2 linked regions of the Rhinolophus ferrumequinum genome follow. The protein of the gene in region 1 interacts with the protein of each later gene in a pairwise test. Links are inferred from orthologs where the notes say so. Each region holds a gene or a part of one and is shown in the gene's direction. Other genes may lie near its edges.

The links.
Region 2: the proteins of DMPK (region 1) and HSPB2 interact in a two-hybrid assay, tested with the Homo sapiens proteins (2 studies listed by BioGRID). The link is inferred for Rhinolophus ferrumequinum from reciprocal best matches to the Homo sapiens genes DMPK and HSPB2.

Annotation. Positions count from the first base shown.
Region 1 is NC_046298.1:42,059,029-42,066,300, reverse strand, and holds the start of DMPK (myotonin-protein kinase), read left to right. Parts: upstream 1-4,193; 5' UTR 4,194-4,368; coding exon 4,369-4,528; intron 4,529-6,804; coding exon 6,805-6,896; intron 6,897-7,157; coding exon 7,158-7,241; intron 7,242-7,272. Other genes in the region: DMWD (dystrophia myotonica WD repeat-containing protein), read left to right, coding at 184-1,461, 2,279-2,353, 2,648-2,695. UniProt on the Homo sapiens protein: Non-receptor serine/threonine protein kinase which is necessary for the maintenance of skeletal muscle structure and function.
Region 2 is NC_046294.1:80,287,676-80,294,335, forward strand, and holds HSPB2 (heat shock protein beta-2), read left to right. Parts: upstream 1-4,475; 5' UTR 4,476-4,886; coding exon 4,887-4,980; intron 4,981-5,463; coding exon 5,464-5,918; 3' UTR 5,919-6,125; downstream 6,126-6,660. Other genes in the region: CRYAB (alpha-crystallin B chain), read right to left, coding at 895-1,098, 2,377-2,499, 3,633-3,833. UniProt on the Homo sapiens protein: May regulate the kinase DMPK.

The DNA of each region.
Region 1 (7,272 bases):
CTGTGGCCACCTCGTGGGTATCCCTTCCCCCCTGCGTTCCCATGCCTGTCAGTTTCCCTGGGTGGCGGCCTCTCTTCCAGGAGGTCTGGGCCATGTCTGATGGCCTCCTGGGGAACCAGGTTGGGGAGGAAGCTTGCCAGGGGCTGATTGCCTTCTCCCAACCCCCACGGTCTCCTTTGGCAGCGGCTGATCGACAAGACCAAGGTGACATATCTGAAGTGGCTGCCTGAGTCGGAGAGCCTGTTCCTGGCATCACACGCCAGCGGCCACCTGTACCTGTACAACGTCAGCCACCCATGTGCCTCGGCACCGCCCCAGTACAGCCTGCTGAAGCAGGGGGAGGGCTTCGCTGTCTACGCTGCCAAGAGCAAGGCGCCCCGCAACCCACTGGCCAAGTGGGCGGTGGGCGAGGGGCCCCTCAACGAGTTTGCATTCTCGCCCGATGGCCGGCATCTGGCCTGTGTCAGCCAGGACGGCTGCCTGCGCGTCTTCCACTTCGACTCCATGCTCCTTCGGGGGCTCATGAAGAGCTACTTTGGGGGCCTGCTCTGCGTGTGCTGGAGCCCCGACGGGCGCTACGTCGTGACAGGTGGTGAGGATGACCTGGTCACCGTGTGGTCCTTCACTGAGGGCCGCGTGGTGGCCCGTGGCCACGGCCACAAGTCCTGGGTCAATGCTGTGGCCTTTGACCCTTACACCACGAGGGCTGAGGAGGCGGCAGCCGCCAGTGGTGAGGGGGAACCGAGTGGTGAGGAGGAGGAGGAGGAGGAGGAGCCAGAGGCCACGGGCCCAGGCTCGGGAGGGGGAGCCCCCCTGTCGCCGATGCCCAAGGCCGGCTCCATCACCTACCGCTTTGGCTCCGCTGGCCAAGACACGCAGTTCTGCCTGTGGGACCTCACCGAAGATGTGCTTTACCCACACCCACCCTTGGCTCGCACCCGCACACTTCCCAGCACGCCTGGCACCACACCACCTGTCGCCAGCAGTTCTCGGGGTGGCGAGCCAGGCCCCGGGCCCCTGCCACGCTCGCTGTCCCGCTCTAACAGCCTTCCTCACCCAGCGGGCAGTGGCAAGGCGGGCGGCCCAGGCGCGGTGACAGAGCCAGGCACGCCATTCAGCATCGGCCGTTTCGCCACACTCACGCTGCAGGAGCGGCGAGACCGGGGCGCTGAGAAGGAGCACAAGCGCTACCACAGCCTGGGCAACATCAGCCGGGGGGGCGGCGGGGGCAGCAGCAGCGGGGACAAGCCCAGCGGCCCCGTGCCCCGCAGCCGGCTGGACCCAGCCAAGGTGCTGGGCACAGCGCTGTGCCCGCGCATCCATGAGGTGCCGCTGCTCGAGCCCCTGGTGTGCAAGAAGATCGCCCAGGAGCGGCTAACGGTCCTCCTGTTCCTGGAGGACTGCATCATCACCGCCTGCCAGGAGGGCCTCATCTGCACCTGGGCCCGGCCGGGCAAGGCGGTGAGTCAGCCACTCCAGCCAGCCTGGGACCCAGGAAGAGGCGGGTATTGGCAGAGGACTTTGTCACTGTCACAGCCTCTAGCCCTGTGGGATGAGGGGAAGCCATGGAAATCTTAGGGTCTCAGATCTTAGAGTGACAGGCTCCAGAACCCTTGGTGACAATAAGGAGAGTGGGTCAGTTAGAAGAGACAGCTGGGAGTGAGCCAGGCTATGAATGAGCCCAGCATGGCCAGGTCTTAACACTTGTTACTTGAAGCTGGGTCTGTATTTCTATGGAAAATACTATTTTTCTAAATAAATCTTTTTGCATATTGTGGGTCAAACTCTGGGCAAGACTGAGCCTTGGGCCCAGCTTCCAGCCTGGGTCTGGACTGTTGGGGTCTGAGACCACTGCTGAAGGCACGGACTGTGGAATCCCAGGCTCGGGGTCCAGTCCTGCTCTGCTCCCTGTGTGACTTCGGGCAAGTCCCTAGTCTCCACTTAGGACAGGGAAGCTCGAAGATGGCTGGATGGGTAGGGATGCGTCCAGCTCCTGGGGTGGCCTTGTGGTTCAGGAAAACCCCGGGAGGTGGAGCACAGGCCTGGCACCTCGTAACCTTGGCGCTCTGGGCTCCTGTCTTGAGCTCCTCGGGGTCTGGGCTCGGGCGCACAGGATACCAGGTCTGACAGCCATGGCTTAGTTCCTCAGAAGAGCGGTTTTGGAATCATAAGGTTCTGTATCCCTAGAACTTACAGCCCAGTCTCAGAGCCTCAGAAGTGGGGCATTGGGATTTGGGGAGTCTGGCAAGTCCTGAAGGAGACCCCTCTATCTCCCTAGTTCACAGACGAGGAGACCGAGGCCCAGGCAGGGGAAGGAAGTTGGCCCAGGTCACCCAGCAAGTCAGTGGTAGAGGTAGGACTGTCCCTGAGTTCTCTCCCCCCCAGAATCTCAGGACACCCCCTCAGTCAGAAGGGGACCCCAGTTTCCCCTCTCTTCCCCACCTCCTCCTCCACCCTGTCCCCTCTGCTCAGGATCACCTGAGTACTTTAATTATTGTATAAAAGTGCCGCCTGCTGAGACAAGGAAGCTAGCGGAGATGTAAGTTTCTGAGCCTAGAGCAGCGGCCTCTGGAGGGTGGGGGGGTCTGGGCTGGCCGAACCCCACATGGTCTCTAACCCCTCCTATCTCCCCTCTCATCTTCCCCAGGGCATCTCCTCTCAAGCAGGCAACTCCCCAAGCGGCACAGTGGTGTGAAGCCATGGATGTCGGGGTCCCCCACCCCACCCCCCGCTCCTAGCCATAACTCCCTGCTGACCTCACGGATCAACGGATTAACAAGACTAACCATGACGGATGGACTGCTCCGGTCCCCCATTATGCACAAATTTGGGGGGCAGAGGGTCCCCAGACTGGCCCAGACCCTGGGGGGATGTAGTGGCCTGTGTGGCCTCAGCCTGTCCCCACCCACTGCCAAGTACAATGACCCTTCCTCTGAAACATCAGTGTTAGCTTCATCCCTGTCCCCAGCATGTGACTGGTCACTCCAGGGAGGCGAGAAGCTCCCCACTCACAAGAGCCCCAGCTCTGCCGTGTGCCCCTCATCTGTGGGCAGGGCAGGGGTGGCCCACCCCTCCCTTGGCCCTGCCCCCCTTGCTGTTGTTTGTGCTTTTAAAGAGTGTTAAGTTATGGAAGCCCCTTGGGGCCCTCCCTATCCCCAGCACCTCTTATTTATACTAAAGCTCCCTGTTTTCTCAGTGTAGCGTCTCTTCCTTCAGTGGCAGTGTGGAGGAAGTGTGTGTGTGCTTGCACTGCGTTGCCTGATCAATCCACTTTCACCAGGGAGCAGCCAGGCCCTGCATCCCCCACCACCCTCACCTCTCCCGCCCCCTTTTAATAGCAGGAAAAACGGAAGGCAGGAGGAGGGACGCCCTCTTCAAAGTCCTCCCCGGGAGTTTGCAGAGTTGTTTGAAAATGCCCAAGCTGTCCAAATCAGAAATGACAGGGCCTTCCTAGGTGGGGTCCCACAGGCAGCTCCCAAGGCCTAGCGTGAGTGGCCTTGAGCACAGGTCTGCTGCCTCAGGGCCTGGCTCGCCTAGCCTGCCAGCGACCATGGCTTCCTCCCGGAGAACTGTCCGTCCTGGAAAGGACAACGAAATCCCTCCTGGCTGGCTCTCCCGTTCCGCCCTCCACCCCCCGAAATGTTTCTGTTTCTAATCCTAGCCTGGGCAGGAATGTGGCTTCATGCCAGGGGCCAAGGAGCTATTTTGGGGTCTCCTTTGCCTCCTCCAGGCTTTGGCCAGTGGATCACCCCCGGTCCTGGCTCCTGAGGGCCTCCCTTCCCGATTCTTTCACCACCCCTTCCCCACCTCCTGCCAAAAAAAAGTCAGTGTAAAGCAGAGGGCCTGAGGGCTAAATTTAAACTGGCCCAAAGTCTGAATCTGGGGCTGAGTCACCCGCAAAGCTGCCCTGGCCTCCTGTCCCCCTTCCCAGGCCTCACCCCTTTCTCCTCCCCCCAACTCCAGGGCTTGGGAGGGGTGTTACCAGGTAACTCTGGACCTCAGTAGGCCCCCTCTGGGGAATGGGAGGGCTCATGTTTGGCCTGTCACACCTGTAGCGTTCCTTTGTGCTCCGCCTTTTTATGGGCTGGGTGTGTATTGAGTGTTGAGATTCTCCACCCCCTTAATCTCACGGAAGCGTTCTGGGGGGCCTGGCTTATCAGGGGTTAAGGCAGGGAGGGGGCCGGCCGAGGGGAGGGGAGAGGGGAGGAGGCCTTTGCAGCCAGCAGAGAGAAGTGGCCAGAGAGGCCCAGGGGACAGCCAGGGACAGGCCGACATGCGGCCAGGGCCCCAGGGCCTGGACAGGGGCTGCCAGGCCCCGTGACGGAGGACCCCGAGCCCCTGGAGGGGCCATGGTGTTGCCTGCCCGACATGTCAGCCGAGGTGCGGCTGAGGCGGCTCCAGCAGCTGGTGCTGGACCCCGGCTTCCTGGGGCTGGAGCCCCTGCTCGACCTTCTCCTGGGCGTCCACCAGGAGCTGGGCGCCTCCGACCTGGCCCAGGACAAGTACGTGGCCGACTTCTTGCAGTGGGGTGAGTGCCTGCTGGCATGGGCTCCCCCACATTGGGAGGGTGAGGGCAGGGCAGAGGCAGGAGATGGGGTCGGGCTCTCAGGGGTATCAGGATAGTTATGGGGAGAGATCGTTCAGGGGCCCAGAGCTTGGACCTGGGTCCTGGGGTGACATGCCCCTACCTTTGTGCCACCCTGGCCAGGCAGAGTGGGGTCAGCAGAGTCCAGGGCAGCCATGACTCAGAACCATGATTTGGGAGCCATGGTAGGCTGGGCTGGGAAGTCTCTCATGGCCCCCCCCCAAGCATCCCCTTCCCCGAGTCTAGGCCTAGGGACATGCTGGGAGCCCCATCTCCTAGAACCCCCACACACCAAAACGGGCCCTGTGGCCTCAACCCTGGCTTCCCAGAGCATGGGCTAGCAGAAGGGATAGGATGGGGCAGCTGCCAGGGGTGCGGCCGGCAGGCAGGTGTTCGGCGCCAGCCTCTCCAGCTGCCCCAACAGGTGCCCAGGCACTGGGAGGGTGCAGTGACTCAGGCAGGCCCTGGGGGAGAACCAGCTCTGCAGACAGGCACCACCCAGCACCCCCTCCACCCCTTGGATGAAGGACCCCTCCCCCATTGGTCTTGGTCCCTCCTAGTCTGCATGTGCCAGCCTTAAACTCCCCTCCAGCTCCCCAGGTCCTTTCATTCTAGTTCATGACCTCCAGCTTTCCAGCTCTCCCCAAAGCCCCCTCTTGCCAGGCCTTTCCCTGGAGAAAGGCCCAGAGGGAAGATGCTACAACCTCAGCCTCCTGTGTTGTCTGCTCACATGCTCTCCTGGCCCAGGACTCAGACTCACTGGAGTTTCTCTGTGACCCCTGCCACTGTACCTCCACTGATCTGTCCCTCAGTGACTTGCTCTTGGTCCTGAGGTTCTTGTGTGTCCCTAGTTCTCTCCGTCCCTCTGTTTCCTCTCTCTGCCTTGTCCTGCTCCCTCTTTACTTGTGTCCATGTCTTTGGGACCCAGGCCCTGCTCCTGTCCGTCCCCCTCCCATTTTCAAGATAGGAAGGTGGAGGTCAAGGGCCAGGCCACTCAGCCTCTGGAAAAACCTTCTCTCCACCTTCCCCCAGCCCTTAGCAACTCTCTTAGTCCCCCTTTTGCAGAGGACTGGCAGGGTAAACTGAGGCTGAGGTGGGGGCAGGGGTCCGGCTCTCCCCTGAGGAGCACTCCTTTTGTGGCCCGAGCAGCATCCTACGGCCCCTCCCCTGTGGGCTGCCAGGGCGGGGGAGGGGGCCTGGGTTCCCGCTGCCTTAAAAGGGCTCAATGTCTTGGCTCTCTCCTCCCTCCCCCATCCTGGGCCCTGACTGTTTCTTCCCTGACGGCCCACTCTCCCCGAACCCCATGGGGGCCCCCTCTGCCCTCCATAACTCACTGTATCACCCCTCATTCCTACTTGCACCCATCCCTCTCTCCACCCTGCCTCCGAGTTCCCCAGAGGCTTCTACCCCCAGGGGGTCCAGGTTTCCCTCTCTGTGTCCCTGAGTCTCCTGCCTCCACCCCCAGGCTCCCTATTCCCAACCTGCTCTGTTTAACATTCTTAGCTGTAAGACCTTGGACAAATAACTTCACCTGTCTGAGCCTGGAGTCCCCATCTGTAAATAAGGGATAATAATAGAGTGCTCCTCCTGGAGTTGAGAGAGAGGACTTTGAGAACACTTGAACCGGCCTGGCGCCCAGATGCGGTCACTCTCTCCTAGTTCTCTTGGCCCTCTGCCCCCAAATCCAGTGTTTCCCAAAGTGTGGTCCAAGAGCCACCTGACTCTGAACCTAGAGGAACTGGATAAAACTGCATGTTCCAGAATGGACTGAGAGAAGCCTGGAGTGGGCCGGGCTTTCCCCATCACTCTGAGTTGGGGTGGGGGCCTGAAGCCCAGGGAGTACTGGGCCTATTCTTCCTGCATTCTTCAGGGCCTCCCTTCTGCAGACTTGCCTTCCTCCCCATCATCCTGCTCCCACAAATCCCTCTGGCCCAATGCCTTGTTCAAAAAAGGGGTTCCCAGGCACCCCACCTTTCTCTGTAGGAGGGCTGTTTTGCGGCCACAAAACCTCACACAGTGTGTGGGAAGCCCTTGGGAAGCAGACAGTCCTAAAGGGAGGGGCAGAGGGAAGGGGACACTGAGGGACAGAGAAAGGGGGAGACCGAGAGACCCAGGACAGAACGAGGGGCAGGGAGACTGAGGGCCAGAGGGTGGGACTTCTCCTCGTCTCCAGTGTCAGTCCCAGTGACCCTCAGTTCTCGTCGCCCCCCGCCCCCCAGTGGAGCCCATCGCGACAAGGCTTAAGGAGGTCCGGCTGCAGAGGGAAGATTTCGAGATTCTGAAGGTGATCGGACGCGGGGCGTTCAGTGAGGTGAGCCCTGAGGTGTGGTGGTTGCTCCGCTTGGCGGGAGCCTCGACTTTCGGTGCTTTGGGAGGGAGGCAGGAGTTTGGGGCGGGGCCTTAGAAATTGATGAATGAGTTTAGAACCGGAGACCAGCAGGGGATGGGGGCGGGACTTGAGGCCAGTGGGCGTGATGTGGCTGGTGGGCGGGGTTTAGGGTGGAGTGCCGTCTGAGCCAGCCTGTTTGCTCCTCCGCCACCTCCACCCAAGTCACCCCGTTTCAACCTTCAGGTAGCGGTGGTGAAGATGAAGCAGACCGGCCAGGTGTACGCCATGAAGATCATGAATAAGTGGGACATGCTGAAGAGAGGAGAGGTGAGGCGCAGGCCTGGATGTCCAGGGCGCT
Region 2 (6,660 bases), on another chromosome or scaffold:
TAACATACACCAGGGCTATTTTTCATTAATTGAATCAGAAGTTTTGTCTAGGCTAACAAAATAAAATGAAGATGTTTTTATAGAGTAATATGTCCTTGTTTAAGCTAAATAATAGACTCACTTATTGATCAGTTATTAATTATAATTCTAAAACAACTTTTTTATGGTGGGTCATTGAATTGGGTATTTCCCAGTCTTGGTTTTAATAGGTATTTGCTGGATAATTTAGAGACTACACCTGAGAGGCTTGTTTGATGATAATCACTCAAGTCCTATTGAATTGCCTTTGTGAATCAGCTGAAGGCAATACTTATCAACAGGAAAATGTCAAATATCATGGGCGGTGAGGTGGTACCATCTCCTCCCTGGAAACATGATTAATTTCAGAGAGGCACTAGGGCTTTTTATGCGTTGTTTTCCAGAGTTTATTCAGATTTGTTGTTGGAACTGAGGGCCTAAATCAAAGAGGGAGGACAGAGAGGAACTCCTTGAACTCTGCCAAGGGCTTTAACTACTTTTTCTCCTTAATTTACTCCTTACAACAAGCGTACAAATCAGTAACCCCATGTTATAAATGGAAGTCCTACAGGCTAGAAAGATTAAATGACTTGCTAAATTTATAATGTTAGTAAGTGGTGGAGATATTCATTCTGACTCTGGAGCCCCCTAAATCATAATGTGATGATTAAATGGATGTGCTGTATTTGTCCATTTGAAAAAGTAAACGTGGAATATTCAAACACAAGACAGTTATCTGTTGCTGAATGATATTTTATTAGCTTAATAATTTGGGCCTGCCCTTAGCATTAATAAACTTCAGCACTAGTCACAAGATTTCCATTCACTGGTGGGGAAAGTTTTTTGTTTTAAAAAATGCAATTAGAGAGAGGGCATCTACTTCTTGGAGGCTGCAGTGACAGCAGGCTTATCTTCACGGGTGATGGGAATGGTGCGCTCGGGGCCAGAGGCCTGTTTCCTTGGTCCATTCACGGTGAGGACCCCATCAGATGACAGGGACGAAGTAATGGCTAGAGGGTCCACATCCGCTGGAATCCGGTATTTCCTGTGGAACTCCCGGGAGATGAAACCATGTTCATCCTAATCCAAGAGAACAAGGAAAGAGGCAGAGAGATAAGAACAGGAAAATAGCACCACTTGCTTAGAACTCAAACATCCTCCTTCCCCTTAGGAATGACCAATACTGTGGCAACATGAAAAAAAGCTGTCCTTTTTGGGACGAAGAAGAAGCTGCCTAGGTGGTCACTCCTACCAATGAGAATCTGAGAAGTCTGAAACAGGCAAAACTTCATAACCCGGAGGCATGGATATGTTTAGATGTATTTCCCAGAGGATTAGATCTATGTTTGTTGGGCCTACAGGATTTGGAATATCATCCGGCATTGAAGATCTGAATCCCTAAGGAAGCTTAGAAATTGTCTTGACTCTTCAGGGAAGGTCCCAGAATGTTCCAGGCCAATAGGACTGCTACCATTAGGGGAAAAAAAAAAAAAAAAAAAAAAGACTCCATCCAGGGAGACTCTGACCCAAACTAAAATCATACACACAAAACAGAAACAGGCGGAGGGACTAAAACTGTACTGTTTGATGAATAAGGTTCTCAGTTATCACCAATTGGTAAGAAGCAAACCCATCAAAAAACCCTCCCAGAAAGTGATGAGAAGTTATTCCATCCTTGAGTATTCTGCTAAAGAGCAGTGGACCCTAACCCTTATATCTGCTGAATCTCAAGCATTTATCCAGACAGGCTCTTAATTAACTGATTTCTACATGGGCTCTACAGTATTAGGAGCTGAGTACAGCTCTGAAACTTAGGCAGACCGTGTAGTTCAGGACTAAGAAGGGCTAAACAGAAAAGGATTCCTGAACATCTAAAAGAAAAGTCCCAAACTCAAGAGCCTTCGGGGTACATGCAGTTAATGTAATTATGAAAAGCAACCAGGTGTCGGACAAGCACTATGCCTAAGTCAGCGGTCTTCATCCTTGACTGTACATTAGAATTACCTAGGGAGCTTTATAAAAATGTTGATGCCTAGGTTCCATCCCTAAAAATTCTGATTTAATTGGTCTGAGATAAACCAGAGCACTGGAATTTTTTACAATTCCCTTTGTGATTCTAACGTGGCTAAGGTTTCGGACCACTGGCTTAAATGGGAAGCCCATTTGTCCTATCTAAGGCAATCAAATCAAAACAAACAACGGATCATGTCTCTGGCCAAAACAACAACAACAACGCCAGGTCTATCCCTGTTCCAGACCCTAATGGTTTAGGACTGAAATGTTGCCAGCCTCAAAGGCTGATGGTATGTATATAGTATGCCCTGAATGAATGAACAGTAGAGAAAACAAGCTGCATACCTGGCGCTCTTCATGTTTGCCGTGCACCTCAATCACATCTCCCAGCACCTTGACCTTGAGTTCCTCTGGGGAGAAGTGCTTCACATCCAGGTTGACAGAGAATCTGTCCTTCTCCAGACGCATCTAGAAATAGTAAGGTGGAGAGGAGGGGGTAGGAGAAAAATATGGTAGGAATGTGGATAAGTAGTGCAGTCTTACCATTCTGCTGACTTGCTTTCTAGGCAGGTAATTTAGTCTCCTCTTTTTGGCAAAAAAATTCCTTTTTAAATAAACATGATTCTCTGGTTTAGGGGAGCCACCACAGTGGTACCCAAGGCACAGCACTTGGTCATCAGGATCAAACTTTATTTACAGGGACAGGGAAGACAACAGGCCACCCAGGGGGAATAATCACAAGGATGGGTCTGGGCCTGGCTTCTACTGCCTCTCTGACCCCAATGCCTGGCCTTGTCATTTGTCTGTTAGACAAAGGCCTCTTCTTCTTGCTCAGGTCTCTGCCAAGTTTCCCACCCACTCAATCTGGAATGTTGTGCTGGCCATGATTGTCTTTCCAAAGCCCTTGCCCACTCAGCTCCTATTTATTCACACTTGAATATTTTTAAACTAGAGTGTTATCTGTGACGGCTTCTGTCCACCTTGTATGTTCACTCCATTCTCTCGCCCTCTTAGGACAAGTGGGGGTCCTAAGACTGGACCTACATCTTTCCTCCTTAGGCTTAGACCCAGGCCAGTGCCCTGTCACAGCCCTGAGAAACTCAGAAAATCACAGAAGAGGGAGTAAGAAGGAAGAAAATAGCGGTTGCTGTCTCCAGCTCCATTCAGTGGGGATGACAAACTCACAATGAGGTAGGGCTGTCTCCTGGTCTGAAACTTAAGATGATAAAATTTGTCAGGAGTATGAGGTATTAGAAATGGTGAGCAAAGGAGTTTGAAGGCAGCTCTTTCCCTGTAGATACTTATGAACAAAACCAGAAAGGGGCATCCTTCTTAGAAGTTAGGGTATGGATGATCTTCCTAGCACATGGGAAAGATGTAGTAAGTAGGATATAGAGAAGCATCAAAGACAAACAGGTGACTGGGGGAGAGACAGAGGAACTAGTAACCTCATCTTTCTTCGCTGCAGGACACGCAATTGCGTAAGAGATTTAGGACACTTAGACATAGCCAGATTTAGACAGACAGGAGAAGTAGAGCAGACAGACATTTTTCCAGAAGGTTCAGGAAGAACTCTCCTGTCCTACAGAGGGGAGACTTACCTCTGAGAGCCCAGTGTCAACCCAGCTGGGTGCCCGCAGGAATGAGGGCAGCCGAAAGTAGAAAGGGCTCAGGGAAGTAGAAGGTGGGAAGAAATCAGACTCCAACAGGTGCTCTCCAAAGAACTGGTCAAAGAGGCGGCTGGGGGAGTGGAAAGGAAAGAAGGGGCGTCGGATCCAGGGGTGGTGAATGGCAATATCCATGGTGGCTTTTTGACTGCTGGGGGTCAGCTGGCTGGTCAGCTCCTTCAGCTGCAGCTACAACCAGCGCTTTATATATGCAGTCTTGTGAAGCTTCTGGAACGGTGATGTCAGGGGTTTTATTATCCTAGCTCACCACCCGTTCATAGAGACTTGTGATCGGAGATTTGGCAGTGTGACACATACCCAGTACTCACTGAGCTAAGAAAAGAGAAATACAAACACGTCTGAGCTGTCCAGTGACTTGCCCTGGACTTGTTTCACTAGCTTTCTGCCCACACCCTATCCCCCCCACCCCGTCCCTCCCGCCCCCCTTGACTGGGACAGAGTCAAGAATCCCAAGCAGGCAGGAGGTGTGCCCCTCCTCCTCTCCAGCCTAGGGAGCCAGGGGAATCCAGCCAGCAACTATCTTGGGCCTGGGCAGGAACTGGAATCTTCCTTGGCTGGGCCCCAGAGACATTAACTCTTTGTGGGTCCCTGGAGGAGAGCAGTGATCACCAACATGTCTGTGGCAGGCATCTGTGTGGTGCTCAAAGTTGATGTGGGTTCAGGTAAGGACCCTGACATTAATCTGGGCAGGAAGAGCCCTCACCCCACCCCAAAGAGAAGGAAGAAAAGTGTTCCTCTTTCACCTTATAAGGCTGGCAGAACATTAAATCCAGGAGAGCTTTATGAAGTGGGGTGCGACTGAGGAGGAGAAAAGGTGGCGTGGACAATGTGCAAACTGTGAGGGTCTCAGCGAGGCCTCTCTAGGGCCTCTAATGCTAGCCACCGCTCCCCAGCTCGCTCCCCAGCCAGGACCCCCAGCTGTCCTCTGGAGTCCCCTGCGACAGCTGAAGGGTGTGCAGGGGAGGGGGCGGGGGTCCAGGCAGCGCTGGTCACACACTCTTGGCTGGCGCTCAGGGCCCCGCTGCCCGCCCCTCCCCGAGGCTCGAGGCTCGACACTATTTTGGGTGGTGTAGACCCCGCCCCCACCTCGGACCGAGCCCTGGCTCTCCAGGCAGCTGGTGGGGTCTCGGTGCACCTCGGACCGGGGCCTCTGACACGTCTGCAACCATGTCGGGCCGCTCGGTGCCACATGCCCACCCAGCCACCGCCGAGTACGAGTTTGCCAACCCGAGCCGCCTGGGTGAGCAGCGCTTCGGAGAAGGTATGGCACAGCCGCCACTTCCTTGCCTCCCACCCCCACCGCCTGAAATTCTGGGCTGACCTCCCAACGGTGCTGGCCTCCACCCCACTCCGGGCTTAACTGAACTCCTGGGGCGAGCCATCTCCCACCCCAGCTCCCCCCTCACTCCCTCCAAGCAGGGCTCTTTTCCCTTTCTACTGACCTCAGAGTAGAGGTGGTAAGAGCAGTGCTCTGACACCTGCCCCCTGCCCCCCTAAGGATGCCTCTTGTTCCCCTTCTGTTTACCCAGTTCTGCTTTGGTTTGCCCTCCTCTGCCCCCATCTCATTTCCTTTCTCAATCCCTTCTCCCCGTTGCCTCCTTCTAGTCGCTGTGTCCCCCACCCTCTCCCCTTACCTACTTCTGACTCCCCTCCTGCTCTCCCCAGTCCTCATCTCTCATTTCACCCCGTTCCTACCTCATGCTCCCTCATCCTGCCTCTTGCCTTCTCTTTCTCTGCCCCTCAGGCCTCCTACCAGAAGAGATCCTGACCCCCACCCTCTACCATGGCTACTATGTCCGGCCCCGGGCCACCAGAGCTGGGGAGGGCAGCAGGGCAGGGGCCTCCGAGCTCAGGCTCAGTGAGGGCAAGTTCCAGGCATTTCTGGACGTGAGCCACTTTACCCCAGATGAGGTGACCGTGAGGACTGTGGACAACTTGCTGGAGGTGTCTGCCCGGCACCCCCAGCGCCTGGACCGCCACGGCTTCGTGTCCCGAGAGTTCTGCCGCACCTATGTCCTGCCTGCTGATGTTGACCCCTGGCGGGTCCGTGCTGCTCTCTCGCATGATGGCATCCTTAACCTGGAGGCGCCTCGGGGTGGCCGACATTTGGACACTGAGGTCAATGAGGTCTATATCTCCTTGCTCCCTGCACCTCCTGATCCGGAGGAAGAGGAGGAGGCAGCCAGAGTTGAGCCCTGAGTGCCACAGACCCAGCACCCAGCACTTTCTCCCTCGTGCAATGATATGAGCAGCTGCCACCACCGGAGAGGCAGCAGCATCCTTGGGGGAATGGAAAAGTGCATGGGCCACAATGTATGGTTTGGTCCCTTGGGACATGTCCTAGTCTTTGGTTTAGTTCTGGGTGGAGCTGAATAAACCCAAATCTCAGGGCCTTGTTTGTGCCGCTCCCTATTCTGTGGCCTGGAGGAGGGGGTGGGCAGGGAGGGAAGAGGTCTCATAGCCATCTAGAGAAAATGCTCCTCAGTTAGGTGTACCCAGCACTACAGAACCCTGAGCTCGCACTTGGATGCTGAGGTCACACCCAGAAGCTAACACTGGCTCCAGATTAAATTCCTAGCCATAATTTTCTCACAATGCAACAAAAGAGAGAGTGATCCTGGGAGGGAAAAGGGATATGCCATCCAAACAGCCCAGAGGGCACTGTCTGAGCTGGTGATTAGAAACACAAAAACAAGGGTCTCCAGACTGTCTGGCTTATTTGGGGTAGGGGTTGGGAAAGCAGGTTTTGGCTGGAGAGGATTGCCTACAGCCCTGTTTTCCCATCCTGAGGTCTGTCCACTGAAAATGGTCTCTGATTCTGAAGGACCAAGTATGTATACACAAGGGTACAGACGCAGAAATCTCTGCCATTATCACCAAACCACTATCCTCCGCACAGGGGAGGCCCATGACAGAAATTTGCCTCCTATCTTGGAACATA